Diceros bicornis minor: one gene and its partners. The protein of the gene in region 4 purifies or fractionates together with the protein of the main gene of each other region. This does not show direct contact. Links are inferred from orthologs where the notes say so. Each region holds a gene or a part of one and is shown on either strand. Other genes may lie near its edges. The genes, in order: COPS8, FKBP5, PIP4K2A and STK11.

What was found.
Region 1: the proteins of STK11 (region 4) and COPS8 purify together in Homo sapiens (affinity purification with mass spectrometry; 3 studies listed by BioGRID and IntAct, with this or other methods). This does not show direct contact. The link is inferred for Diceros bicornis minor from reciprocal best matches to the Homo sapiens genes STK11 and COPS8.
Region 2: the proteins of STK11 (region 4) and FKBP5 purify together in Homo sapiens (affinity purification with mass spectrometry; 8 studies listed by BioGRID and IntAct, counting the BioPlex papers as one, with this or other methods). This does not show direct contact. The link is inferred for Diceros bicornis minor from reciprocal best matches to the Homo sapiens genes STK11 and FKBP5.
Region 3: the proteins of STK11 (region 4) and PIP4K2A purify together in Homo sapiens (affinity purification with mass spectrometry; 3 studies listed by BioGRID and IntAct, counting the BioPlex papers as one, with this or other methods). This does not show direct contact. The link is inferred for Diceros bicornis minor from reciprocal best matches to the Homo sapiens genes STK11 and PIP4K2A.

The regions. Positions count from the first base shown.
Region 1 is NC_080776.1:24,644,436-24,651,532, forward strand, and holds the start of COPS8 (COP9 signalosome complex subunit 8), read left to right. Parts: upstream 1-4,084; 5' UTR 4,085-4,151; coding exon 4,152-4,229; intron 4,230-5,268; coding exon 5,269-5,339; intron 5,340-6,484; coding exon 6,485-6,533; intron 6,534-7,097. UniProt on the Homo sapiens protein: Component of the COP9 signalosome complex (CSN), a complex involved in various cellular and developmental processes.
Region 2 is NC_080753.1:29,091,733-29,098,674, reverse strand, and holds the start of FKBP5 (peptidyl-prolyl cis-trans isomerase FKBP5), read right to left. Parts: upstream 3,023-6,942; 5' UTR 2,923-3,022; intron 2,592-2,922; exon of another isoform or gene 2,443-2,591; intron 1-2,442. UniProt on the Homo sapiens protein: Immunophilin protein with PPIase and co-chaperone activities. Component of unligated steroid receptors heterocomplexes through interaction with heat-shock protein 90 (HSP90).
Region 3 is NC_080775.1:22,294,907-22,302,740, reverse strand, and holds the start of PIP4K2A (phosphatidylinositol 5-phosphate 4-kinase type-2 alpha), read left to right. Parts: upstream 1-4,834; 5' UTR 4,835-5,048; coding exon 5,049-5,192; intron 5,193-7,834. UniProt on the Homo sapiens protein: Catalyzes the phosphorylation of phosphatidylinositol 5-phosphate (PtdIns5P) on the fourth hydroxyl of the myo-inositol ring, to form phosphatidylinositol 4,5-bisphosphate (PtdIns(4,5)P2). Has both ATP- and GTP-dependent kinase activities.
Region 4 is NW_026691553.1:693,821-700,867, reverse strand, and holds the start of STK11 (serine/threonine-protein kinase STK11), read right to left. Parts: upstream 3,011-7,047; 5' UTR 2,290-3,010; coding exon 2,000-2,289; intron 1-1,999. UniProt on the Homo sapiens protein: Tumor suppressor serine/threonine-protein kinase that controls the activity of AMP-activated protein kinase (AMPK) family members, thereby playing a role in various processes such as cell metabolism, cell polarity, apoptosis and DNA damage response.

The DNA of each region.
Region 1 (7,097 bases), on a different chromosome or scaffold from region 4:
AGCACAGAAGTTTTTAATTTTGGTAACATTCAATTTATCTATTTTTTCTTTTGTTGTTTGGACTTTTGGTGTCATATCTAAAAAACTCGTGCATAACCCCAGGTCATGAAGACTTACCCTACGTTTTCTTCTAATGATGTTTTAGTTTTAGCTCTTACATTGAGGTCTTTGATCCAGTTTGAGTTAATTATTGTCAATGGTGTGAGGTAGGGGGTCCAACTTCCTTCTTTTGCATATGGATATTTAGTTGTCCCCACACCATTTGTTCAGAAGACTATTCTTTCCCCCATGGAATGGCCTTGCCAGACTGGCCAGAAATTAACTGACTGTAAATGCAAGGGTTTAATTCAGGACTCTCAGTCTATTCTATTGATCTATATGTCTACTCTTATTATCCATTGACCTACACATCTACCCTATCTTGATTACTGTAGCTTTGTAGTTAAGTTTTGATATTGGAAAGTGTGAGTCTAACTGTTCTTCATTTTCAAGATTGTTTTGGCTCTTCTGTGTCCCTTGAATTTTTATAGGAACTTTATGATCATCTTGTCAATATCTGCAAAGAAGCCATCTATGATTTTGATAGGGACTGCATTGAATCCGAATGTGGGTAGTATTGCCGTAATAATATAAAATCTTCCAATCCATGAACAAGGGATGTATTTCCATTTATTTAGGTTTTCTTCAATTTGTTTCAACAATATTTTATAGTTTTCCGAGTATAAATTTTGCACTTCTTTTCTTAAATTTATTCCTAAGTATTTTATTCTTTTGATGCTATTGTAAATGAAGTTGTTTTCTTAATTTCAGTTTGTTCACAGTGTATAGAAATACAACTGATTTTGAATATTGATCTTCTATCCTACAATCTTGCTGAATCCATTGATTAGTTCTAATAGATTTTTTTAGTGGATTCCTCAGGAACCAGGTGAAATTTCAGAGTTCTGAATTAGCCATTCTCCAATTTCCAACTTCCTCAATGACTGTGCTTCTCCTCTGACAAGAGTTGAGAGAGGAGGGGCAACTTGCACAAGAGGGCTAAGCCAGGGGGAATGGATATGAGACCCACATCCTTCAGCCTCAGGAGCCCACACTTCCCTTCAGTGTGCTGAACCATCCCTCATCCCAAGTGCAGTGGGAAACGCAGCCTCTCATTGCCCCAGAGTCAGCATCTCCAGGGAGCAGAGCTTCCTTCTGGTGGCCTCTTCTCTACTGTCTTGCTTCTGTGAAGTCTTTTTTTTTTTTTTTTTTTTTGGTGAGGAAGATCAGTCCTGAGCTAACATCCATGCTAATCTTCCTGTTTTTGCTGAGGAAGACTGGCTCTCAGCTAACATCTATTGCCAATCCTCCTCCTTTTATTTCCCCAAAGCCTCAGTAGATAGCTGTATGTCATAGTTGCACATCCTTCTAGTTGCTGTATGTGGGATGCGGCCTCAGCATGGCTGGAGAAGCGGTACATCAGTGCGCGCCCGGGATCCGAACCTGGGCCGCCAGTAGCGGAGCGCACGCACTTAACCGCTAAGCCATGGGGCCGGCCCCTACGAAGTCTTGATCTCTCTTCTGAGTCCCACCACCTGAAATTACTGGCTTTACACCACACTGCCCTTTATCATACTCCTCACTTCTCCTATTATTGAAAGTTTAGGGGTAAAGTTAGATGCAGCACAGTACAGTAACAACTGAAAAATGAATATCAACCATCACAGCCCTGGAAATCCATCAGCCTCTCACTGCCACCTGGAGTCCTCTGAATCCAGGCCAGGGTCTTGCCTTAGGCCCCAATTGCTCCATTTCCCCACCCCCAGAGCCCTCCTTCCCTCTCCCAAGACCCCCTTCCTCCCCTCTCTAGCTGTCAGCCTCCAGTTCCCAGATCCTTGTATCTGTCTGTTCAAGAACAGTTTGGTCCTCTAAATGACACCCCAGACTTTACCTCTAAGCTGTGATGGTATTTCCAAAGCCTCACTGGGATTTTTCTGTTCAGCAAAGAACCATCTATTACATCTTCACCTTTTGCAGCCCAAAGCACTTCCCAAAGATTTAAAATCATAATTTTCCCTTTAAATGATCAAATTGCCAGGCAGTTGATGCAACAAAATCTTTCTCTGTCCAAAACAGGTTGGGAGCCATTATTACATGTTGAAAATTCAAAATCCTGCTCCTCAAACTTATGTCGAATGACCTTAGAATCATTTTGCCCTAGTCCTTTCCTTCTTCGTATGATTCATGCAACTTTGTGGCTTTATTCCTCCAAAATGTCTCTAGTTATACTTGCTATTTGCATGCTTTCCTATTTAAGGACTTTGAGGGACTTTTGGAGTGATTTTGTAATCTTTATAGTCCATCCAAAGCATTACTAAACACAATCATTTCCACATGGAAACTGTTGATTCTGCAAAAATAATCAGTGAGGCTGTCACTGTCTTGAAATTCTTAATAGTTTTATCTTTGAGCTTGTGTTTGGTAAATGACGCCCTTTGGGATCACAGAGCATTTCCACGTGAGTGAAGAGATATGTGAAATATGCGTGTTCACTGCCATTCCATATAGAGTTTAAAATACCCTATGAACATAGAATTCCTGTTGGACCCAATGGTGGGGAGTTCAGCAAGACTCAAAGTGAGTACAAGGTAAGCGTATTATGTCTACAATAGAGTAAGCTGGGCACTGACAGCCCAGAGAGGCCACATTTTCCCTTAGAACCTGAACTTGCTTCAAATGCAAACTGAAGGCAATGGTGTCCTAGGAAACACAGCCAATCAAGGAACCCTATCCTATTCTTTCTTACTGATGTTACTTCCTTGTATTATGCTGAAATATTCCTTTGACTGTGATGAAAATGATTACATAGCAGGAAAGGGACGGTTCCTTTTCCTTTCAGTTCTTCCTAACTCATCAGAATGCCTAAGGTAGAAAGTGGTGGTAGAGCACCTGCATAAAACCAAGTGCATGAAAAACAGCTGAGTTAGTTTTGTGTGGCATTTCCAAGGTTCTGATAAGAACAAAATATGCATGCACGCATGTGCTGAGATAAGAATTGTGTAATTTCTGTGATTCTACCTGAGTTAAATGCACTTATATTTGTATTTAACACTAGCATTGCACAATATAAAGATGGGTGGTAAAATTCAAGCTAATAATTTAAAATTTCCATTTTTCTTTACTTAGAATGATATTAAATAGCAAATTAAAAACTGCTATGAAAAGCTGAGAGAGACACTGCGAACAAAGGAAACAGTTTTATATTATATTACCTTTCATGACACTCCTGTTTTTTGAACAAGGGGTCCTGCATTTTCAATTTTCTCTGTGCCCACAAATTATGTAGCCAATCCTACCTCAGGGAACAAATCGAAGCCTCTTCCCTGGTGGTCTAGTAAGGGCAGCAAACCAAATATGTAAATAAACAATATGCAATGTAATGTGCGCTAGCAGTAAGCACTGTGCAGAAGACTGAGGAGGCCGGGATGGCTGAAGCAAGTCGGATAGGATCTGGGAATCAGAACTTGCAGCCTAAGCGACCGCAAGGACTCTGGATTTTAGGAATATGAGCAGAAGAGCAACAAGATCTGGTTTATGTTTCAGAAGAGATCATTTTGGCTGCTGTTGCTGTGTAGGGAGTAGCCTGCAGGGAGGCAGGCGTGGAAGTCAGCAGAGCACGGAAGTTCAGCAGTGTCAGTGGTCCAGCGAGCGCAGCTTCACCGGACGTGGGGTCTGCAGGAGAGGAGCCCCGCGCGCAAGGACGGTGTGCCCTTCACTGAGACGGGAAGGGCTGCTGAAGGGGCGGGTTTGGGGGAGAAACAAAAGCTAGGTTTTGAGCCTTTAAGTGTGCCTGTGTATCAAGCCTCAAAGTGGAGACATCTAATAGTCCGCAAATATGCACAAATCCCCTCCCACCCTGAGTTCGGGCCCGCGCTTAAAGCAGCTTCCCGCGAGGCTTGGCCAGTCCTCCAGAGCACCGAGAGTGCGGGCCGGAGCGGCGGCGTCCCCGCCCGGCCGCAGTGACGTCCATCGATGCGCCGGAACCGACGGCGCGCCTGCGCCTGGCTCGCGGCGGCGTAGGCGGCTTTGTACGTCATCGCGGGCGCGACGCCCCGAGGGACGGTGAGGTATCTGGGTCTTGAGAAGGTGCAGCGGCAGAACCGGCCGGGAAGATGCCAGTGGCAGTGATGGCGGAAAGTGCCTTTAGTTTCAAAAAGTTGCTGGATCAGTGCGAGAACCAGGAGCTCGAGGTAGCCATTCGCGTGGCGCTGGGAGAAACTGCGGGGTCGCAGGCGGCCCCGGGCGGCGCCAGTCTCCAGGGTAACGGGGCCTGTGGCCCGCAGGCCTTGGGGCGGGCGCCTGGCGGCGCGGGAGCCCGGCGTGTGGAGCCCGGGATGCTGCAGCCTGCTCCGAAGGCTGGGGATCCAGGCCCGGCCTCCGCGACCTCGCTGGGAGCTTGTTATGTGTCTTCATCTAGTGAGCCCGAAAACCTCATGCGTCTTTGCTCCTGACATCCTCCAATATGCTTCCGTAATAATTGGTCTAGACATCTTAACTTCTCGTTGTGGGGGAATGTGGCTTTTATCAAAGACATTTGTGCAGTCACACACACAGACCAAAGAAGATGTGACCACTCTAACCTTTTATTAACCCAGAAAGCCCTTCTTAGTCTCATAGTGTTATCATGTAAGCTTGCCGTATTGTCTACAGCAAGACAGGTGAAAGTTGTATCATCATGCACTTATTAACGTTAGTGTTTTCCTTAAAAAGGCACTTAAAAAGCATTTATAACGTTAGTATAAAAAGTTAATTGACTAAAGGAGACAGCAGCCGCAAGTAGCAACTCACTGATAGACACTTAGATGTTTTTTGAATGAGGAGACAAATGTTCTGATGCTCTGATGTTTTTCTGTTGATCACTCATTTACTTAGATATTCCACGTATTTGATCTAATGGGCAGGGTCATAATGCTTTAGGAATCTGTTGGGAATATTTGTTTCTTGTAGGTGATACTAAGACTGTTTAAATGAGAGTTTGAGAACTGGGTAAGGGATCCCATTTAAATATTCTTGTGAGGATAAAGATGCAGGGGCCTAGAGGGAGATAAATCACAGCTGAGGACAGATTTAAACTTGAAACTCTGGTTTTTAGTGTTTGATACTTCTACATCTATTACAGTAAGTACTATAAAATATGCTTACTTTTTAGATTGGTGTTAATAAAATGCTTTTTTAAAAATAAAAATATAGGAATAGTGAGGTTTTTCTGTTTCATTTTTGGCCTTTTAGGCTCCTGGAGGAATTGCAACACCCCCAGTGTATGGTCAGCTTCTAGCTTTATATCTGCTCCATAATGACATGTAAGTACCTCCTACCTAAAGCTAAGAGCAGCAGCTTCCTCAAGGTTATATAGAAATTATTCTTGCATTGAAGTAGCGTCGCTGAAACATAGGCACAAGGAGCTATATCTTTTATTATAATAGTCAGTATACCTGTTTCCTTATTGAGTCATGACTTAAGAAACTATGACTAGGCTAAGTTATTTTAAAATACACTTGTTTACATATACCTTCTAAAAAACATTCCAATTTGTTATGAGAAACAACAGTGTCAATAAATTCCTTTAATTCTTTTGACTTTTTCTTTTCTGTATTTTTATAAAACTCTCTTATGACCTCTGTTTACTTAACTTCACGTGTAATCAGTAGACCAAGAGAAACTGAAAGGGAAGATTGAGAAAGCTAAGAGGAGTTCGTTACCAACATGTATGAGATTTCTTAAAAGCTTTTGTTTTTTAATTATTCCTGATTGGTGTTGGTTGAAGAGAGGTCAGAAAGCATAAGTGTGCAAAAGGAGTCCCTTGTAGTTGTAGGGCCCATCAATGATTACTGCTAAATTTTGTTTTAAATTCTAAACTTTTTCATTTCATATCTTTTTAAAAAACGAAACAGATTTTTATTACACATATATCATATAAATTACCTGTTTTGTTTTTTTGTAATCCCGTCGTCATATGTTTGATGTAGTTCAAGCTTCCAGACTCTTAAAAACTGCCTTGAAGTTTTGGTGGCTCTCTACCCACTGGTAGGAGGAGGGGTCATGATAAGGATAAAAGCATTGCGTAGCAGTCGTATTGTCAAGGAATGCCAGAGCTCTGAAAGTGTGTACATTTGCTCATTACATATATGAATAAATTATTTAGGCAGGCAGTTCTGTTTAAGTCTGTGTTTTTAGTGTACTGTTGCCTTAATTTAAGATCTGGATCATTAATAAAAATTCACTAAATGGCAAAATGTTACTTTGGTAAAAATATTTCGTGTCTTTTTGTTTGGAAATCTGCTCTTACTTCCCCTAAACAAATTGATATACAACTAAATTTCACTCTGTATTATATAGAGTATTTTAAAGTATACTTCTGTGTGTTTGCATTGGGATCTAGAATTTAAGCATTTACCCTGGTGATTTTTTTTAATTGCTTATTCTTTCTTGGGGGGATGTAAATTAGGAATAATGCAAGATATCTTTGGAAAAGAATACCACCTGCTATAAAATCTGTAAGTGTTCTTTCGATATATTTTACTACTTAATATAGTAATGACGTTCATTTAAATGGCAACTTCTTAAAAGTTTTTTTTTTTTTTTTAATCCATGTGGTTCACAGAAATAGTTATTAAACTGGTATTAAAGTTTAAGAATAGATCTACAGGGGGCTGGCCCCATGGCCTGGTGGTTAAGTTTGGCACAGCACGCTCCACTTCAGTGCCCTGGGTTCAGGTCCTGGGCTCGGACCTACACCTCTTGTTGGTGGCCGTGCTGTGGCGGCAACCCACATGCAAAGTAGAGGAAGATTGGCACAGATGATAGCTCAGGGCGAATCTTTCTCAGCAAAAAAAAAAAAAAGAAATACATCTACAAATCCTTCTAATCAATTGGTTTTGCTTTGGATGGTATAGAAATCTGTGTTCAGCTCCTATGGGTCAGATTTCTTAAGATTTCTTTTACCAGGTCACTTCTTGACCTGGTAAATAACTGAGGCAGTTTAGATAAACGTTTGGTTTTTGTTTTGTTTTTTTAACTGATTTTTGCAGTTTCCTAGAGTGGTGTTTATTGCAAAACTG
Region 2 (6,942 bases), on a different chromosome or scaffold from region 4:
ATAGTTTCAGCATTAGAAATGTACATATTTAATTGTTCAGCATTAAATAATTACAAAATTAAGTGTGCCAAAATATGTACAACATAGATTCTTCTTTAGGAATTGTGAAAAATTATAGTAAAGGCTTATAGAGGATATTCTTAATGCCAGGTATAACATGCATATTACTGTTATAAAGTATTATTAATGTCTAACAGTGTCATTTGATTTATTCTCAAATTTGGCTGTTTTAACATAGGTCCTTGTTTTTTGTGGCTTTATTCATTCAAAAATATTTGCCCATCCTCAAACTCAAAAGGAGCCACGCCTGAGAGTAACTGACTTAAAAACGCTCCCATTGTTTATTGTGTAGAAGAATTCAACTTATGCTTAATTTTGAAACTGAAATGTGGTTGATAATTTTATGATATGGTCTACCACAAATTAAAGTGGACAAAAAATTAGTAATTAAAATATCTAAAAATTGAATTTGAAAACGGGCTTTTAATTAAAAGGCACTTTTATAGTTAAAGCTCCTAAAACATGCTTTTGTGCAAATAAAACTATGAAATATAACTTTAATTTATGATATGTAGTATATTTAAGCATTATCATAGGATAAAGATTATAAAACGTCTAATTACACACAGTAGCTAAACTAATATATTCCTATACACTTTAAAGTGCAATTATATAAATCATCCAAAACAATGAGAGCCCCACTCTTATAAGATTGCTTACAACTATTTATATAGAATAAACCCATTCTACATGAGGACGAGTCACTGTTCAACCAATCTACCCTCACTAAGCATCAAAAAGCCAATACAGCTTTTTAATAGCAATAACCTCTTCTACAGCTATAGAAAGAGGATGTTCTTTCTTCTCTAGACTAATTTGTTCTAAACTAAGAAACATTTTAGGAAACTAGCCTATAATATGCATTCTTTTCCAATCCAAGAATAAACTGAAAATTGAAGATTTAACTAGCTGCCGAATCCAATATTTTAAGTTTTTCATGTTGAACTGGTTAAAATTATGTTTTAAAAAATAAATTAACCCAAAATTCCCATAACTGAAAAAAAGATTCAGAAACATACTTGTTTTGTTAAAAGTTAGAAAGACAAAGAACTCATAACATACAGGCCTGTTGTTTTAGAGAAATAAAACATTTTATAAAGACCATCTCTATTTTTTTTAAATCTCAAATAGTCACAACTAGCCTATTGGTTAAAGAGTTCACCTTTAAATAGTGTTACTAATTAGCTAGGTAAATAAGTAAAATTACCATTCAATGAAATATTAATAAAGTAGCATTTAGATCAAAATTACAACTTTGTTCTTAAGAAGTTAAACTTAACATCTCAAGTATAAATCATACCCAATACAGATATCCAACGAGACACATAATAGGAAAAAAAACGAGTAAGCTAAATCAAGTGTTTCTCACAAATGATGACTCTTATTAACCCTCATTTAAAAAATATTTTTAAAAAACATATTGATAAACTGGTCAGGGCCTAAAGTGGTCAAGGCCATAATTGTAGATTGTTAAGCGGAGGTCAGTTGGGAGACAGAAAATAAGTGAAAGTATGACAAATAAAAATTTCCCCCAAGAATAAGAAGTTCTTCAAGGCTATCCTTGAATTTTGATTGGAACACCAAGAGAAAAAGCCACTATAATTCTCTAAAGTAAGAACTCTTGGTGGGGGAGCTCGGCAGAACTCCCACAGACTACAAAAATACTTAACCAAAATATGCCTTCACTTTTCCCTCGTCCACAATCTAACAAAATGAGAAGACAATGAAAATAAACACTCCTGTCTACCCTCCCAGAGGCAAAGAAAGCTCCCATTCAATGCTAAGCCTTATTCCACTGGAAAACATACTCCTGAAAAGTAAATCCAAAACCACGAGCTCAAACTGCTTCATGCAGAATTTACTGAATGGCGGCCAAACGCTGTACACTCTGTCCTGAACCACACTGAGGATATCTAGACTTCTGCATTCTCCATTTACAACTTGTACCTTCCCAGGCTTTCGCCACCACTGCAGAACCCGAGTTTTTAAACGAGACTACAAGATTCCCCCTGGCTCGTGCATCGAAAGAAGGCAACCCACACGCTGACCCCCCAAATGGTTTTTCATCGATACTGGGTTTGACGCCTCTACAGTCGCCAGAACACCTTTTTAGACTCAATGAGGCGTCAGAACGCCCCAGGAGGGAAATGGACAAGGAGCCCTGAAACAACTTTTCACTGGCTTTCACCTGGCTCTAGAGTATCACCTGTCAGAAGAGCGCTGCCCCGGCACCCTCCAAGAGCGGCCGAGAGCGGGATGCTGTTCCCACTCACTCGTCCCAGGGCGGCAGGTGAAGGCGGGCCGCGCGCATCCACCCCCGCCGCCCGGGGAGCGCAAAGCGAAAGCCGAGGCGCCGGCCGCGGGACCCTTCGAGATCCTCACCCTGCACAGGCCCCGCCAGGTGAGCGCGGCTCCATCGCGCCCCGCTCGCTGCGCCCGCCGCCCGGGCCCCGGAAGGCGAAGTTGCTCTCCCGCCCGCGCCGGCTGCTGCTCACGCGCCGCCCAGCTCTCCGCGGGTCCCGCCGCCGGCTCCCGCCTCGGGCGAGTCGGGCCGGGACCTGTCACCCCGGGCGGGAAACAAAAGCCGGGTGAGGACGGGCGGGCGGGCCCGGCCTCGCCTCCCCGAGGGGAACGCGGCGGGGCGGGAGCGGCTCCCGGAGGAGCCCCGGCCCCGCGCCTGCCCCGCGTTGGGGCTGGGGGCCTCCGGCGCGCCGGCCTCGAGGCTCCGCCGGCCGCGCGCGCCGCTCCCGGGCCGGGGAGCCGCGTGAGGGAGCGGGGAGGCGGCCGGACCGCGACGGAGGGAATTCGGCTCCCGGGGCGCCGCGGTCGCCCGCCCCATCCCTGCGGCCATGGCGCCGGTACCTGCCGCCGCGCTCGCCCGTCGTCTCCGTCTCTCTCCGCCTCACTCGCACGCCGCTCGCCCCTCAGCCCGCCCAGCAGGCCGCCCGCGCGCCGGACGCCGCCGCCCGAGACTGGCAGCGCCCAAGAGCCGGCCCGAATCCCCCGGGCAGCGCCCGGCGCCGGCCCGCCCCCGCCGGCCGCAGGACCCGCCTTCCATAGGGCCCCGGGGCTGTCAGTCCGCCCCCAAAAGGCGCGCGGGCTGCCGCTCTGCCTGTCCGGATTGGTGGCCGCGCGCCGTCCATGCAAATGAGGTCCCGCCCCCGTCCATTTGCACCTCCGCCTTAGTGTAACCTCCGCCTCTCCGCACCAGCCCACGTGTCTGGCCGTCGCCCTTTGTGGAGGCCGGAGTGGAGGGGTGGAGGAAAGCGACCGGCACCCCCTCACACCGGCCCTTACCTCTAGAGAAACGAACACCTAAACAAGCTAGTTGACTTCACATCTGAATCGTCTCTCTGAAAGCTCTGACCTCCTATCGGTCCAGCCGCCTGCCAGGAGGATGGAGAGGGGCAGGCTTGGCTGTTTGTGTCAGGTAAACAGGCCAGGTTAACCCCAGGAAACAACCCCAGGAAGTCAAAGATGCCCAGTCGAAACTGGGGAAAATCCCATCTCAGAACCGATTTAGCACAGAGCACTTCTCTCTGGACACTGGGAGCCTGGGAAGAATATGCTTTCCCGTGGCTTTTTACCTTTCAAACATGAGATTCCAGGCGATTGGGACGGCAGAGGACCTTGAAAAATGTGTGTTCTCTGCCCCCGTCCCCTAAAAGGTCGCCTGCTGAGCAAACTCAGCTTCAAGAGGGGCACAGGCCTCTCCAACCAGATGGCCACCTTTGAATCGCTCCCATAGAGATTCAGATAAGGGGACTGAACTAGCTGCACCTGGGCCTTAGGGAATACCTAGCTCAATCCCCTCGTTTTTGAGGAAACAGAAGCCTGTAGTCCGTTAGCTATGGGACTTAATAGTTACCTATGGAAACCTAATGTCTCATAGCCAGATGACAAGCCGCATTTCCTAGCTCCAAATCTACTCTCTGCACTATATTACGGTGAAGAGTCTCTTCTACAAATCAACAGTCCTGCCTTCAAGAGGTAGGGTCTGCAGAAGAGACAACTAGAGCCAACACTGAAACCTCCTCAAGGGCAAGAGCCCTGTCTCAGGGCCTAGAAGCTTTCCTTTTTACCAGCTGCCAGGGAGAGTCGCTCAAACCACTTATGTATGCGTTAATTCAGAAAGATGACTAAAACGCCTCTGCATACCAACACCAATTGATTAAGCATCTACTATGCTTAATAACAGCAAGTATTAAGCATTGTGCTATGTGAAGAGAATACAGAGGTGAGCAGAAATTATCCCAGCCCTTGACGCCTGAGAGACAGTGACATCCACATTACATGTCAGTGCTCCTCATGTTACAAGGACTGTGACAGATGTCTGCAGAGGGCATAGTGGAGGGCTCCACAGAGGGAGGAATCGGCTCTTCCTGAGAGAGGCAGGGAAGGCTTTATTGAAGCGGTGACACTAGAGCTAAGTCTTACAAGATGGACTCTTAAAAGATGGTGTTTGCCAGACAGAGGGATGTGGAAGAGGGAGGAAAGGGGCTCCTGGGCAGGGAGGGATAAGCATGAGCAAAAAGCATGCAGACCTGGAAAAGCCTAGTAACTGAGGGAACAGTGAGGAGCAGTGTGGGCAAATCTGCAGGGCCATGTGGCCATGTCACATGCTCTGAGACCAGGCTCTCCCAGGAGGAAGACAGAAAGGCCCGGGAGGCTGCCAGGCTGTGTTGTAACACACCGCGGCAAACAACAACAGGCCCTGTAGATACAGCTGCAGGCTTTTTTTTCTAGGCCAGAGTCTGTGGGGAACAGTCAGTTCCACAGTTCCGATGGCAGCCTGGCTGGCCCCACCCACTATCTCAGAAAACCACTCCGGTCACTCACTTGCCCTCCTTGGCATTTGGAAACACGTGTGCTTGCATTTTCCCTAAACATTGCTGCCCTTCAGAACTCAAAGATAACGTGGGCTCTGGCTGCAGACACCTGGGTGTGGGATGAGCAGCCCTTTCCTAATGCACAGAGCAGTTCTTGGCAGGGCCTGTTACCAAAGCTGGCTTCATGGGCATGTGACCTGTGCTTGGTTTAATGCTCTGCTGTCACCATCTTGAAATTCTTAAAAATTTTTCAGTGAGGGGCTCTGAATTTCCACTGTGTGTTGGGACCTGCAAATTAGGTAGCCAGTCCTCCCTGTTGCTGTTAGTTGCCCCTGGGAATGCTTGTGATTCTGCTCAAACCATATCTCATTCTAAAGCAGTTGGCATTCACTAGATTTGTTCACGTTCATCTTGTCATTTGGTTCTCACAGTGGCAATGTGGGGTAGGTCAGTATTACTAGTTCCATTTATTAGCTGAGAAAACTGAGGTTTGGCACCCTTCTCCCGGTGGCCCAGCTAGAAAGTAGCAGAGCTTGTACTTGAACTCAGCCTACCCAAGCCCTATTCCATCCACTATGGAGCTACCTCTGTGTTGGTTTCAGAATCCTTTCACAAGCAGATTTGTACATGAAGGATGTACTGTTTTAATAAGAGTCAGAACACATAGTGGAGGGATATATGTCATTTCATGGCTGCCTATCACCTTTTGAATAGTTTTTCATCAATTTTTAAAAATTCTCAACCATTATATGTTCAAATACTGTTTCTGTACCTTTTCCTCTTTCCTTCTGGGCCATCAATTGAAACACGTATTAGACTTCCTCACTACATCTCTTTCTTCTTTATTTTCTATCTTTTGTCCTTCCATGCTTCATTCTAAAAGTTTAGTCCAACTATTTTTCAGTTCACTAATTCTCTCTTCAGCTTTTTAAAAAATTCTCCTCTTGGGGCTGGCCGGATGGCATAGTGGTTAAGTTTGCACACTACACTTTGGTGGCCTGGGGTTCGTGGGTTAGGGTCCCAGGTGCAGACCTACACACTGCTCACAAGCCATGCTGTGGTGGCATCCCACATACAAAATAGAGGAAGATTGGCACAAACGTTAGCTCAGTGACAATTTTCCTCAAGCAAAATGAGGAAGATTGGCAACAGATGTTAACTCAGAGCCAGTCTTCCTCACTGGAAAAAAAAAATGTTCCTCTTAAACGCATCCATGGAGCTCTTAAATTTGGTTATTCTTTTTTTTTTTTTTTTTTTTAGTTCTAGAATTTCTATTTGGTTCTTTTTCAGACATTCTGTGTCCCTTCCCTTCTTATATCTCTTAGTGCCTTGCTATAATTTTCAAGCTTGGCTTTTCTCTCCATAGTAAGTATAGTTGTTTTACAGTCTGTGTCTGTTAATTCCAATCTGCAGTCCCTGTGGGTCCACTTCCGTTGTCAGTTTTTACTACTGGTTCTTCCTCATGTTGTTGTATCTCCTCAGGTATCTGGCTGTGTTTTGGATGTTGTATTTGAAAGATCATTTGAGGCAACGATGATAATATCTTCCTCTGGAAAGGACTTCCATTTGTTTTAGCAGGCGTCTGGGGACACCAGCAAGCTAGGATCACCTTAACCCAATTTCAGGACTCGGTTTTCTGAGCCTCCCAGATGCCTTGAGGCTGGACTACAGTCTGTGGGAGATTCTGTTTATTTATGGTCCCCCTTTCCTCAATGCTGCAGTTCTTTGAGGTCCCAGGCGAAGATGGGAAGTTGTTTTAGTTGTATATTGCTCCATAGCAAACTATCCCCAAAGTTAGCAGTTTAAAACAGATGTCAGCGGAATTTTTCTTAAAGGGCCAGATGGTAAATGTTTTAGGCTTGCAGGCCATATGGTCTCTGTCACAACTACTCAACTCTGTCATTATAGCACAAAGCAGCCACAGACGATACGTAAATGAATGACATAGCTGTATTCCAATAAAACTTTATTTACAAAAACAGGCAGCCATCCTCAACCTGATAAAACCCCACATCTAGTATCTATGTGGGTTTCATAGAAACCCACATAGTTT
Region 3 (7,834 bases), on a different chromosome or scaffold from region 4:
TATTTTCCTCATATTCATAGACTTCCTTTCTCTTAAGGATTCTTTGTGGTCTCAGGCAACCTTCCTCTCCCCCTACATATAGGAAAATAGTCTGTTCCAATACAGACTTAGTTCAAAAATAACTATAATATACAGCAAGGAGTAACTTAAAAGGCTATTCTCTTATAGGAATTGGGCTACTATGTTAAATGCCATTATTCTGTTATTTATTTAACCAGAAAAGATTGTTGCATTTTTAAAAATTATTATTAAAGTAATATATATGCATTTTAGAAAATTTGGAAAATGCAGAAATATATTTTTAAAATTATCCATAATCCAAACTGCACTCCTTATATATCACTGTTACCAGTATGACATATTTTATTTTAGTCTTTTACACATATACATTCACATACACATTTTATAATATTAAAACCATACCTATATACAATTTTGTATCCTGTTTTTTCACTTATATTAATATCATGGTATTTTATGTCATTACATTTTCTGTGAAAGTATCATTTTTGCTGGTTGTGTTAAAGTCTGCCATATGGATCTACTGTCATTAATTGCTCTCCAATGTTGGAAGTTACTATTTCCATTATAAAAGTATACATAATAAAGATATAATGCCATTGGAGATTGACTCCTGTCCTCCACACAGCCTCCTGTCTTCTAAGGGGGCTGTTCAAGTTCTCATCCTCTGCTTGGGGAGTGGAGAGGAAGTGGGGGCAGGATGGAAGTGTTACCCTATGTGTTGGCTCCTTACATCCAGTCTTCTCCCAGTCCAATCTCCCCAAGTCAGGCCAACAAAACAGCTGCCAACTAAGTGGTAAATTCCTGGAATTGCTGCCACTGTCCTGGAAGTCCTAGCCAGCTGCAGAAGCCAGGAGATTCACCATCAATATTTCAGTTGGGTGGACAACCTCTACCAGCTGGTGCCAAACCACAGCCATCCCAGGAGGGATTTGGACAGCACAGCTAGACCCTCAGAACTCCCAGATGGCAAGCTGTACCACATTATGTCAACACCTTCCCTCTCAAAAGTAACTCACATGTCATAACTGAATTCTTGGATCCCATTTATTGCATTTTGGCTGGGTTTGACTGTATATGCACTTTAATAATGGTCTTCCAAAATCATAGCATTTTGAATGGCAAAGCTCTGGATGACACTACAGAAGATAGAATGGAATTGTCCCAAATCTTGCTCTGATCTCCTGACAGAGCAATGAAAAGCATAAAAGCTTCCAAATAGCACTAAGGAAGTTACTGAATTCCTCTTCTCAACGAAGAATTCTTCTTGGAATCATTCAATTGGGGAAGCTATTTTTTGATGAAAATGGTAATAAAATAAAAAATCAGAGCATCCACTCTATTTCAACCTCCATTTCTGGTATTGTATACTTTAGTCAACATTATACTTTTACCATGCTCTTCTAGAATAGTAAATACAGTTGGTTACAGTAAAAGAAAGTGAGAAGCAACAGGAATAACAAGCAGAAACAAGTCAGTATTGGGAGGCTTTCAAGCTTCCCATTTCCTTCTCTCTTCTTAGGGAAGTTGGCTGCTGGAGCATTTCTTGCAGCTGTGATGGCCTTGGAACCTGGATCAACAGCCCAACAGGCCAAATGCAAAGGGGTAGGAGCAGCGTTCTCCTTGACTGACAAGACCACATACCCATCCTGCGATGGAACTTCCTTGCTCTTCTTTCTCTAGCCATGCATCTGGTTAAGATCATTGTTGAATGCTGGCAGTTGGGTTGCTTCAATCCTTGACAACACGAGCAGCCTGAATAAGGTACTGAACCAAGGATATACGCATTGTTTCCTTATCACACAAACTCCAGATGAAAACAGTGATCAAATTGCTACATTGCTAAACCCACATAGTATCTAACCCTCAAATTTAAATACTACATCTAATCTAACCTAATTTCCCAGTAAAGTATATCTGAATGGAGACTTGCACAAACATTTCCTGGGTGTGGAATCTTTACGTGTAACTTTGTTGTGAGAGGTGAAAATTTCCTTTTCATTTATTCACCAAAACTTTGCCATAAGTGCTATGGAAAGGGAGTATGTTAGGTTCATTGGGAGGATACAGAGTGAGTGCCACATGGACTCTGCCTTCAAAGAGTTTTTTGTCTCCCAACAAGTCAGGAAATCATTTAAATTTCTCTTGATCTCAGTTGTCTAATGCATATAATTTGAGAAGTGGATCAGGTACTTTCTGAGGTCATTTCTGTGACTCTCAAACTCCTGTATCACACACTCCCTCTGCAGAGTACAAAGTTAATGTGAGAGGTCATTGGCAAAGTCATTTAATGACCTACTTATGAATGGCATTATATGAAATGCCATTCAAAGCAACTTAACTCACCAAAAATCCTATCCCTTAACAGTACTGTATTATATACTTGAAAGTTGCTAAGAACGTAAATCTTAAATGTTCTCATCAACACCTACACATACACACAAATGGTAATTATGTGTGATGGAGGTGTTAACTAACCTTATTGTGGTAATCATTTCACAATATTACATGTATCAAATCATCAAATTGTACACCTTAAGCTTACCGAATGTTACATGTCAATTATATCGTAACACAGCTGGAAAAAAAATTCTGTCCTTTAAAAGCTGCAAGTCTCCTTACTATCTGACAATATCACATGGATTTTCATCTCCATGCCTATGCCCCTGTCTGCCCCCAACAGAGATGACACCTCGTGCTCCCCATCATACCTTACCACCCTCCTACTTAAAACCTCACTTGACAGTGCCCACGGGTATCCACCTCCCCTTCCTGTAGGCTCATTCAACACTGTCATCACTAAATTCAGTTTTTTAGCATTTACAGCTAGCCTATTGTCTTGCATTATTAATATACAGTTAAGTACAATAGAGCTGTTATGAAACAAAAGTACTACGGAAGCACTGAAGTGAGTGGATTAATTTCAACTAGGAGGATTGTGAGAGCACCCGGAGAAGAGATAATATTTGAGCACAATTGCTTTCAAGGGCAGGGCCTGGTAAAGGGGTTTATGTGGAGTGGTGCTGAGAGGCAATAATCAATGATGATGCTAAGCTTTCAATCCTGGGTCAACAAAAGTTTGTTAAACAAATGAACTTCTAGCTAGGGTAATTGAGTGATATGAATGCCTTTTCTAACATAATAGAAAAATGAAGCAACACGTGGGATGGAGAAAGATGCTGAACTTTGTTTTAGACACCTTTTTAGGTGCCTGTGGACAATTGATGTAGAGATGTTCAACCAGGCATTTCTCCAGGGTCCAGGGAGAATTTATGAGTTATCTGCAAATACTTACCTTTTATCTTGTATGTGTATAGTGCTGTATGATTACAAAGCGCTTTTCATAGCCATTGTCCACTGTTGATTTTGATTCTAACAAACACCCTATAAAGTAGTAAGGCAGAATTATACTACCAGGCCCAGAGTAGTCCCTAAAGTGACATCTGTGTCTGATTATCCCTATTGTTAACACAAAGAACCTGATGCTCAGAGAGAGAACTGATTTGCTGAATAAGTGGGAGAACTGCGCTACAACACGTCTTCTTACCACAAATTTAGGTGTGTTTTTTTAACCACTAAGTGGTGATGGTTGATGCTGGGGGAGCAGACATCATTTTGTACAGCAGTATGAAACAAGAGGGAAAGAACTCCAAGAGGACTTTGGGGCAACCCCTACGTCTAAAGAACCATGAGAGAAAGAGGAGGAGCAAATGAAGGCGACCACATGACCTGTACTCCCCATCTCCATGAGACTCACGCTCCTCAAGGGACAAGGGTCTGTCATCCTTTGTCTCCCTGACAGAACCAAGCAGATTACCAAACACACAGTAGGTATCCACACAATAGGTATTTGAGTGGAGTAATAATGACAATAGAGAACATGCTTGCCCAGTGCCCTGAGTCAGGGTAAGTCCTAGAACAGCATGATGATTACCGAGGAAGATATAGAGTTGGCAGGTTTTTAGACATACTTGGAATGGTAGCTGACTCAGCTGGGTCAGGTAGTCCCAGTATTAAGAAGGGCTAATTCAGGGATGTAAGGAACACCGTGGATGAAGATGCAACTTCGGGCATGATCGGCCTGGCCAAACCAAGGGCTCCCGATGAGGAATGTAAAGTCTTGCCCAGGGAGGGTTTTGGTGGTGGTAGAAATGACAGCCCAGCGTATTAGGTGGGAGTCTCCCTTCTGCATGACTCCGAGAGTGTGGGAAGGCCCAAGTCCAGGGTCCTAAAGGCCCGATGGTTAAAGGCACAAAGGGATTAAGAAATTCATTCCCGCCCCACTTCGGGAGGCGGCCAACGATGCGCCCTGCTCCTTTCCCTCGGTGCGAGGGAAGCCCTGGTCTCCATGTAGTATTTCAGGTCTCACTAGCTCTCCTGACCTTTGGCACGGTGAGTGGCCGTTCCCTGAGCCTCCTTCACTCGCCTGACCACCGCCCTCCTCCGACCTCCCCACTCTCCCCATCCTTCCTTCCTGGGGAGCAGGAGGGGATGCCCTGCAGGCGTCCTCCTGCTCCCCGCGCCGCACGCGCCCCCGCGGCCTCCTCAGCGGGCCGGGAGCGGCGGCCCGGAGCTCGCCTGCGCACAGACAGGGGGCGGCCGGGCCCCGCGGAGCCCGAGCGGGAGCCGGAGTGCGAGGGCGCAGCTTAACGGCCCCGCGGCCGCGCCCCGCGCCCCGCGCCCCGCCTGGCGGCGCCGCAGCTGCTGCCCGCCCGCCCCCTGCGTCATGACGCCGGCGCCCAACGCGGAAGCCGCTCGCGGCGCGCCTGGTCCAGCCGCGGGCTGAGCGCCGAGCCGCGGCGGGCGCGGGATCCGGGCCGGGCGCGAGCCGAGCGCAGCCTCCCTCCCCAGCCGGGCCGAGCGGGCAAAGCGGGCCGAGCGGGGCCGAGCGCGCCGGCGGTCGGAGCGGGGCACGGCGCGCCGGGGCCGCCGCCGGGGGGATGCGGCTGCCTCCCCGGGCCGGCGTGTAGAGAGGGCGGGTCCCCGGCCTCGGGAGCGCGGCGGTGGAGGGGACAGAGGCGGCGGCCATGGCGACCCCCAGCAACCTGGGGTCCTCCGTCCTAGCGAGCAAGACCAAGACCAAGAAGAAGCACTTCGTAGCGCAGAAAGTGAAGCTCTTTCGGGCCAGCGATCCGCTGCTCAGCGTCCTGATGTGGGGGGTAAACCACTCGGTAAGGGCTCGGGCTGCGGCGCGCAGTCCCTTTCCTCCTCCTCCTCCTCTTCCTCCTCGCTCCCCTCCTCCTTCTGCTGCAGCTGCTGCGGGGCGGGGAGCCCCAGCGGGGCCCCGGCCCTCCGGCTGCTCTCCCTCCGGGGCTGCCCGCCCGCCGCGGCGCCTCGGTGCCCCCAGCCTCGCGGCGCGCGCCCGCCCCTCCGGGCCACCTGGGCGCCACTTGGACCCCCTTTGGACGTAGGGCCGGGTGCAGGACGAGGGGTTCCGTCTGCATTTGAACCCGGCGGCCAGTGCCGCCCCCCGGCCGTCCGCCCGCGGGTCTGTCCCCGCACCCCCGGAACTGGGAAGTTTGTGCGGGGCCCGGCTGCGCCTGGGCTGTCAGCCCCGGCGGGGGCTGCTGGGATCAGTGTCCTGGCGATCGCTCCCTTCTGTGGCGGCGGTGGGGCGGCCGGGTCCTCCGCGCAGGTGTACCTGTCCCAGGCTAGGAGCGTCCGGAGCCTCCCCGCGGGCGAACAGGGATGAGAATAGTGGAGATCCGGGAGATTGGAGCAGCGGCTTAGTGCTTAGGTCCTTTTTTTCCTTTAAAGGCGGTATCATCGGACACAAGGAATCTTTTGGGCAGAGAAAAAGCCCGTGTAAATATGGCACTGGTGTTTTAGCATCTTCCTCTGCTCTCGCCCGCATCGCCCTGCCGCTGTGCCGGCTGAGGAGCTGCTTGGCGGGGAGTCTTCCTCCCCACTCCTCCTCCCCCACCTTGGGGAGCCAGGCCGAAGTCACCGACTGCGGAAGGGCGGCCCGGGGGATGACAGCGGGAGGGAGTCTTGGCAGGCGCGGATAGAAGGTGGTCTTGGGTTGACTGCACCCGTTTGGGGAGCTTGTTTAAAAGGCTGGAGGAGAGCGCTTGGAAAGGTTAGCTTAACACCCAGCCGGAGGTGATGGAAGGTGCGCCGCTGGGGGCTATGCGGACTGCGGTTTGAGGGTCTGAAAAAGCCTCCTGCTGATCTTCCAGCGAGAAACTCCTGCAGTTTTAATCTCCTTAGAATCAGGAAACATGATCGGAGCTGTTGGCTGAGCCGTGCAAGTTTAAATGAGCCTGTGAATTTTGGCCGTGACCTTACTCACTGCAGTCACTTGGCATCTGAGGAAAAGTGTAAGCTTGGTTTCCCTACTTTTGATTTCAATGGATGTCTGTGTGTTCTTTTCAGCATAATAGAAATGACAGAAAACCGTGTTGGTGTTTTAAAGAACAGTCTCAATTTAATGAAGGTGTTTAAAATGGCTCAAAAGCATTGTATTTGTATTTTTCTTCTGCCAGCTGAGCTGGGGAAAAAGGTGAAACAGTACCAGGATTGATTGTGTTTGCATGGAGTGACTGTTTTTAAGAAGGTTGAGAAATGATTATTTCTATCAGCCTAACGCCTGATTTCTTGAAGTTCATTTTAACTTCCTGACAACTTCTTTAGCAATTAGGAATGTAAGCTTTTACAACAGCATATATTAATGCACCAAAACTCTCCTGTTTTATTATAGTAAATAAAATGAAATTTTTCCTACGTAATAAGTCTACAATTTAGAGTTATGTCTAATTCTGTAAAGCTTTTTTTTATTATTTCTCTTGTTAGTTTCCTTTTTAAAAAAATTTATGTTGTTAGTTCTGTATTTATGGGTGCTTTTATCTCCTTTGGAGTTGTGTTTTGGTCAGGAGTATGTTTGTATCTGAGTTTAATCTAGTAAAGTAGTGTCAACAATATGCTGCTGAAAAAGAGTCTGAGAATTAGTCTGAATTCCAGTTTACTTTGGAAAATCTTCTAATTGTGCATGTTTTACTGTAACCATTTGTGTTGCTACCTTATATTTATGAATTGCTACATTTGTTTAGACTTTCTTGCTAGTTGGAAATATTTTGCAACTACTTAAGGCTTATAAAATAATGTATGATTTGTAGACAGTGAATTTCATGTTATTTTCTTTTGCCTACAAGAAAAGTTAGCAATTCTAAGTATCGTCATAAAAGGAGTCAAGTTTCCATAGTGTGTAATGTAACAATGTTATTCATTCAGCAAATTATATTGGGCACATAGGGTCAGCCACTGTGCAAAAGATTGCTCAAAATGCCCCTCATATTTTTGTCCAAATATCTTTATGTTGAGGGCTCTGAGTTGACATAAGAAAGGTCTGTTTCACAGCCTTGTTTTTCAAAATGTCAATTTTCTTTCTTATTTTTGAAAAAAAGAAAGGACGTATATATAAAGATGAAATCTAAGCACTTAGTGCCATGTATTTCTGGTTGATTTCATTTTAGGTGACAAAGACTGACATTAGATAAATGTTTTTATATGACCTTGTGTGCACCAAAGTTTATAGTATGAGAATAAATATGTCAGCATTGTTAAGAAGGACCAAGCATAGTGTTGTATATGAATGGGGATATTTGACAAAGCATAGCAGAGAAGGAACAGATCATTCACATCAGTTTTTCCCTACATTTCTAATGTGATCAGAATTAATGGGAAAAGATTTGTCATGAATATATAGCAATTTCATGCTTTTAAAATTCATTTGGGTTTGTCTTAAGGACAATTAGAGATAACCATACACGGGGCGGCCCTGTGGCTTGGCGGTTAAGTGCGTGCGCTCCGCTGC
Region 4 (7,047 bases):
TGGAGCAGAAGGGAACTCCTCGGGGTGGTGAAGCGTCCTCTGACTTGACTTTGGGCGCGAGCGTTTCTGAAAACCAGCGTCTTGATCACACGCACACAAGGCCTTAGCAAAGGTGGGCACTTGCCCACCCTGACACCCCCCCCCAGGGACCCCTCAACTCTGCTGCCACCAGTTGCTGCCCCTGGCCGGGTTTACACACTGAAGCCCCAGGACGGCCAGCAGCTGGGCTCGGGTGCCTCCAGCCACACAGCCCAGTCGGAGCTGGGACCCGGCCCCCTGGACCAAACTCTGGGAGACCCTCCTACCGCAGGGCGCTGCTCCCGAGAGGCTGGGGCCTGGGGCACCACAGCACCAGAACACCCCCCGGACCCGGGCCGACTCCACCCTGGAGGGCTCGGCCAGGCAGGAAGAGACCAGCACCCTGTTCCCGGGACAGAACGGGGCACGAGGCCTACCAGGAGCCAGGACAAGGAGGGGCCCTGGAGAGCGGGAGGGGATCTGTTTCCAGAGTCAGCACCCAGAACGCAGGAGCTCACTGTCCCCCACCCGAAGCTGGGGTAAACCTGCTAGGCAGCCGCCTCACCCCCACGTGCTCCAGGCTTAACGAGAAGCCAGCAGTGGAGTGGGGATTTCTGACTGGGGTGAGGGGTCCCCCAGCCTGTCTCTCCCCAGATGCTGTGGCCCCCACCCAACCCCCACCTCACAGGTAAGAGACTGGCACAGGACTGACGGAGGGAGGGGCCGGGGGTGCCCGGCCACGCCTCCTCCCAGTGTCCACAGGCTGGGTCACAGAGACTGAGAAGACCTCACCCCAACACTGCCCACCGTGCCGGCCGACCCCAAAGAAGCCTACTGCTCCACCAAGCAAGGGGCACCGGCTCTGGAGCCCGTGCCAGCCCGGCTTCAGTTCTCGCTCCGACCCCAACACCAGCACCCCCAGGCTGTCCCAGAGCAGGAAAACAGCCAGCTCGCGGGCTGTGCAGACAGGCAGAGCGGGCCGGGCCGGGAAGGAGGCAGGTGAAAGCGGATCCGGGGGCAGCACTGCCCAGGACGGGCCTGGCAAGCTTGTGGACCGTCCAAGGTCATAAGTCAGCCCTGCCACCAGCCAGCCTGTTAGATAAGCCACTTCTTGGAAACCGGAGGCTGGGAGGGGAGCGTGCGCCAAGGGGCGGGGTGCACCGAGGCGGCAGCGATAAGGGGCCCCCTCCTGAAACTGGCAAGAGGGAAGGAGGCAAAGCTCCCCACCTCCGTCCTTGGGGCAACTCTTGCTCACAAACCCCAAACCTGCCGAGGTGCCTGGGGCAGACGGGCTCCAAAAATACTTGTTTAAAAAGTTTGCTGGACACAAGCCTGTTCCCCTCTGGGGGAGGGGGGAGTCCCCGGGGCCTGCAGTCACAGACACGTCCAGTGTCACCACCCAGGCCGGCAAGAAAGGGCTAAGTTGCCCCCTGCTGACTGATAAGCCGGTGCAAACAATCACTTGGCCACCGCAGGGCTCCCCTCCGACAGGATCAACAAAGCGTGTTGGCCTGGCCCCAGCGCCGGCCGCACGCTGCGCCCAAGACCTGCCGGCGGCCCTGGCGGTTTCTGAGCACACGCTCTCAGGGCCAAACACTGGCTGCTTGCACCGGGCACCCGAGTGCTCCGGACAGCTGGGAGGGTCGGGGGGAGAGGGGCGCGCCCCCTTCGGAGGAGGGCTTGGACATCCGCCCCCCAACAGACTGACAGGCGGACGCCCCGCAGCAACAACCTGTCCCGACTTTCTGAAAGTACTTAAGCGGGTTTCCAAACATGCTCTTCCTGGCAGGGAGGACTCGGGAGCTGGCTGGTCAGCTCAGGTTTTTAAGGAAGGGGAGGACGGAAGGAAGGGAGAGAGGGAAGAGGGAGGGAGAAAGGAAAGAAAAAAGGAAGGAAGGAAGGGAAGGAGGGAGGGAGGGAGGGAGGGCGGGCGACCAAAGTCCCCGGCTGGCGGCGCCCGACCCAGGAAGCCCAAACTTACTTCTTCACGTTGGCCTCCCCATTGGGGATCCTCCGCAACTTCTTCTTCTTAAGGATCTTGACGGCCCTCCTGCACAGCGTCTCCGAGTCCAGCACCTCCTTCACCTTGCCGTACGACCCCTCCCCGAGCAGGTCCCCCATCAGGTACTTGCCGATGACCTTGGCCCGCTTGCGGCGGGGCTGGTAGATGACCTCGGTGGAGTCGATGCGGTGGATGAACGTGTCCATGCCCACGGACATCAGCTCGCCCTCCGTAAATATGCCCAGCTGCTGCGGGTCCGCCGCATCCATCCTGGACCCCGGGCCTCCGACTCCGGCCGGCAGCCCTGACGCCCCTTACTGTAGTCCCGGGTGAGCGGTTCTTCCTTTCGTTCCCCCCAAAATTCCCTTCTCCGGAAAAAAAGTCAACAAAAACGCAAAAAAAGAAATAAAAAAAAACCCTTCCTCGAAAAGAAACGATTGTACGAGACGAGAGTTCGAGAGGCGCGCCTGGTCCGGGGCGCGGGCGCCGACGGTGCGGGGCGGCGAGTGCGGGTGCCGTCGGGCCTCGCAGCTCCGGGTCGTTGGGGCGCGTCCACGGGGGCCCTCGGGGCGCTGAAGTGCTAGGTCATCCTCCAGGGACTTCAGACCCTCGGACCAACGCGGCGGCCGCAGAGCCGGGTCTCCACCGGGCCGTCCATTACCGGCGGGCCAGGGCGCGCGCCGGGGCCCCGCGGCGGCCGGCCGGTCCCGGGACCCCGAGGCTGGGCGGACGAGCTGGGCCGGGGCCGGGGCGCGGTGTTGGGGGGTCTCCGCCGTCCCGGGCGCCCCAGACGCCGGCAGGTGCCTATCCGGACAGCGCGGGGGGCGCCTCCGTCCGGCCCGGTGCGCTCTCGCCGGCCCCGGGCGCGCGTCGGGGGTCCGGGGGGCTGCCCGGGGCCCTCGCGCCGCGGGGAGCAACTTCCGTCGGATCCGGCTGCCCCTGGGGCGCCCCCACACCTGCCGGGGACCCCCGAGAGGCCGCGCGCGCCCGGCGGGCGCCCCCCGCCCCAAACGGCAGCCCGCGCTCGCTCTGCGCCCCGAACGCCGTCGGCCGCGGTCCTCGGGGCGCGGGGGACCCGCGGGGCTCCGGGGGGCCGAGGCGGCGCAGGCCGCAGGCCCCGGGCCGGGGGTTCCCGAGGCCGCCGGGGCACGGGCGGCGCGTCCCCCCGCCGCAGTCGCCGCGCGCGTGAAGCAGGCGGGGCGGCGCGGGGGCCCAGCCCATGCAAGGCGGCCGCAGTCCGGCCGCCCCGCCGCCGCTGCCGCCCGCCCCTCGCCTCACTCGCGGGCGCCCCGGGCCGCCTCCCCCTTCCGCGCCCGACACGCCGCCGCCATCTTGTTTACCTCCCGCCCCCGCCCTGCGCCGCCGCGCCGCCGCACGCCCGCCGCGGGGCCCGCCCCTCGCGGCGCCGACGTGCCCGCCCGTTGGCTGAGCCGGCAGGCCCCGCCCCCGCGGGCTGCCCTGTCGCCGCCGCCGATTGGGCCATTTGGACCCGGGGGGAGGGCGAGCGGGGATTGGCCCGCGTGCGGCCCCGCCCCAGGGGTGGATACGGCTCGCTCATTGGCCCGCCGAAGCGCCTGTCACGCGGAGGGGGCGGGAAGGGAGCGTGGGGAGGCGAGGCCGCGGGGTTGACCTCGGAGGGGTTTGAGGCTGGGGTCGAAGGTCGTGAGTGCTAACGGCCTCCTCGGAACGGCCAGGGAGTGGGCACCGCCCTCGTGGGCCGGGATGCGGCTCTGGGACCTTTGGGGGTGACTGCTAGGGCCCCTCGTCCGAAAGCCCCCTGGAGGCGAGGTCAAGGGTCAAAAAGTAGCCCAAAGTGGCCAATGGGAGGCAAAAAGCCATCACTAGGCATCAATGGGGCTGGAGGGCGAGAGAGGTGCTCTGGACGGTCTCTACCCTAAAGAACTCAGGAGCCAAAGCTCAGAACAGAGCGGGGGCGGTGCCAGCCAAGTGCTTTGGGTGGAAAACACAAAGAATTGGCACAATACTGCTCCATGAAGTTGAAAGTACCTCCCATACCTGAATTTTCTGCCTTTCTGCTTTTTAGCACTAGATTATTCTTTTGTCAGAGCAAACCGCTTGTCTTGAGTAAAGCTCTTGTTTCACAAATAGCCAAAAAGTGGAAGCATTGGGGCTCAGGGCTGGGGGTTCTGAACCCGAGACCTGTGAACTCCCTAAAACTGCACGAAATTGAGCGTGCCCATATGCATGTTGTTCCGGACATCCATGAGATTCACAAATGACCCGTAGAAGGGGATTGGTGTGGCTCTGAGGAGACAGGGCACAAGCCACAGCAGCAGACCAGCAAGCCCTAATAAAAATGTGTGGATTAGCCCCAAATTCCTTTCGAGAAGGAATTCATAAAGATCAGAGCAGCAACACATGAAATAGAATAGAAAAAGAATAAAGAAAATCGATGAAACCAATGATTGTTCTTTGAAAAGATCAAAAAAATTGGTAAAAGTCTACCCAGATTGACCAAGGAAAAAAGATGACACAGGGGCCGGCCCGGTGGTGCAAGTGGTTAAGTGCGCGTGCTCCGCTGCGGCGGCCTGCGGTTCACCAGTTCAGATCCCGGGCGCACACCGAGGCACTGCTTGGCAAGCCATGCTGTGGTGGCGTCCCATATAAGGTAGAGGAAGATGGGCACGGATGTTAGCTCAGGGGTAGTCTTCCTCAGCCAAAAGAGGAGGATTGGCAGATGTTAGCTCAGGGCTGGTCTTCCTCAAAAAAAAAAAAAAAAGGTGACACAGGTGAGAAATGAAAGAAGGGATGTCACTACAGACCCTACAGATAGCAAAAGGATTAGATACTGGGAATAACTCTATGCCCATGAATTCAACATCGTAGTTGAAACGGACCAATACCTTGAAAAACACTGAGATAGAAGCTCACTCAAGAAGAAATAGATCATCTGCATAGTCTTATGTCTATTCAAGAGATTAAATCTGTACTGAAAAACCTTTCCACAAAGACAATTAAGGCCCAGATATCTCGTTGGTGAATTTCCACCAAACATTTCAGGAAGAAATAACATCCGTTCTAAAAAATCTGGCCTGGAAGCAGAAGAGGAGGGAACACTGCCCAACTTAAATTCCTTTCGGTATCCTCTGTGTTTTTGAGTGCTGCCTTAAACTGAAATTTCTTGGAAGCTGGGGGTGTGTTTGACAATCTTGGCCCATGTAGGCCCTGCTCTCCTTCGCGGAGCCCACACCCCTCTCCCGATGTGCAGGAGACATGGAAGGAACTTGGGAAATGTTTGGTGACTGTTGCAGAAAGAATTCGTGAAGGTGAAATCTCGCCTCAGATGCCACCTCCTCCGAGAAGCCCTCCTGGTGATTCCCTGGAACGCTTGTCACCTTCAGAAATTTTCTCATTTATATATTTCATTATCTGTTTTTATTCTGTCTCTGGCACTAGACTGGAAGCTCTTGGGGGCCGGGGTCGGTTTCTCGTGGTCACTGCTGCATCCTCAGCAATGAGAGCTGTGCCGTCCAGTACAGCAGCCGCTGTTCACATGTGCCTATTAAGCTCTTGTGATATGGCTGCCAAAATTGAGATGTTGTGAGTGTAAACTACACACTGGATTTTGAAGGCTTAGCATGAGAAAAAATACATATAATATCTCAATAATTTACATTGATTGCACGTTGAAATGATATAATTGGATGTGTTAGGTTAAAAAAAAATGTTATTAAAATTAACCACTTCATATCCACTAGGAAGGCCACGATCAAAAAAATGGGCGATGACAAGTATTGGCAAGCATGTGGAGAAACGGGAACTCTCATACAGATGGTGCAGCCACTTTCGAAAAAAATTCAGAAGGTTAAACATAGTGTTACCGTATGGCCCAGCAATTCCACTCCTCGGTATATGCCCAAGAGAAACGGAAACTCACATCCACACAAAAGCTTGTACACAAATGTTCACGGCACCTTGATTCACAGCAGCCAAAAAGTGGAGACAACCCAAATGTCCATCAACGGATGATGGATACACACAACGTGTCCATCCACACACTGGAGTATTACTCAGCCATGAAGAGGAGTGAGGCCCTGACACAGCCACACCGTGGATGGACCTTGATCACACGATGCTCAGTGAGAGAACCAGACACAGAGGGACACGCGGTGTGTGTTTCCACTGATGTGAAATGTCCAGAACAGGCACATCCACAGACAGAAAGTGGGTTTGTGGTTGCCAGGGGCTGGGGAGGGGGTGGAGAGTGACTGCTAGGGAGTACAGAGCTGTTTTTTGGGGTGATGGAATGTTCTAAAGTCCTCCCTCCGTCCCCCTCACAGGTGAGCCGACTGAGGCTTGCAGAAAGGAAGCCACCTGCCCAGGTCCCTGGTGGAGCTGCGTGCCCAGCCTGGGAGCCCCAGCAGCCTTGCGAGGATTCTAGCACCGTCTGCTCAGCGTGATGGGGGTCTCGGAGCTGTTCAGCTGTCCTGCTTACGTAAAAGTTCCTAGCAAGCATCAAACCCAGGGCAGGCCAACACGGAACCAGATTTAAGAGCCCTTCCCAGCATCACAGGGCCTGAGACCCCCGTGGGGGCTGCTCTAAGCCTCTCCAGGGACCCTCTCTCGGCCCCAGCCCTTTGCCCGGCGGAAGTCCTCAGTTGGGGGGTCTTGGCCTCTCACTTTCCGTTTCTCTGAGTGGGGGTTAACAATACCATATGTCATCAGATGGAAGACGCTGTGGCAGTGACATGTTCTGTGACCTTAGGAACCACCACGGAGAGAAGACTCGGAGACAGCGATGACGCTCCCGACTGAAAGAGGCAGCCTGACCTCTGGGGGGGCAAACTGTGACGAATGGGAACGGTAGTAGCAGGAACAGACGAAGGTTATGAGTACCTGTGGTCGCCCTGGGAAAATCCTTTCTCTGCATTCTCCCATCCTCACCCTCCCGCAGGTTTTGTTAAGAGCCCCGAGTGACAGGTGGGACCCCAGGTTAGAGGTGGGGTCTCAGGTTGCCGTTGAGGGGCCCCAGCTTATAGGAGGGGGCCTCAAGTTACAAGTGGGGG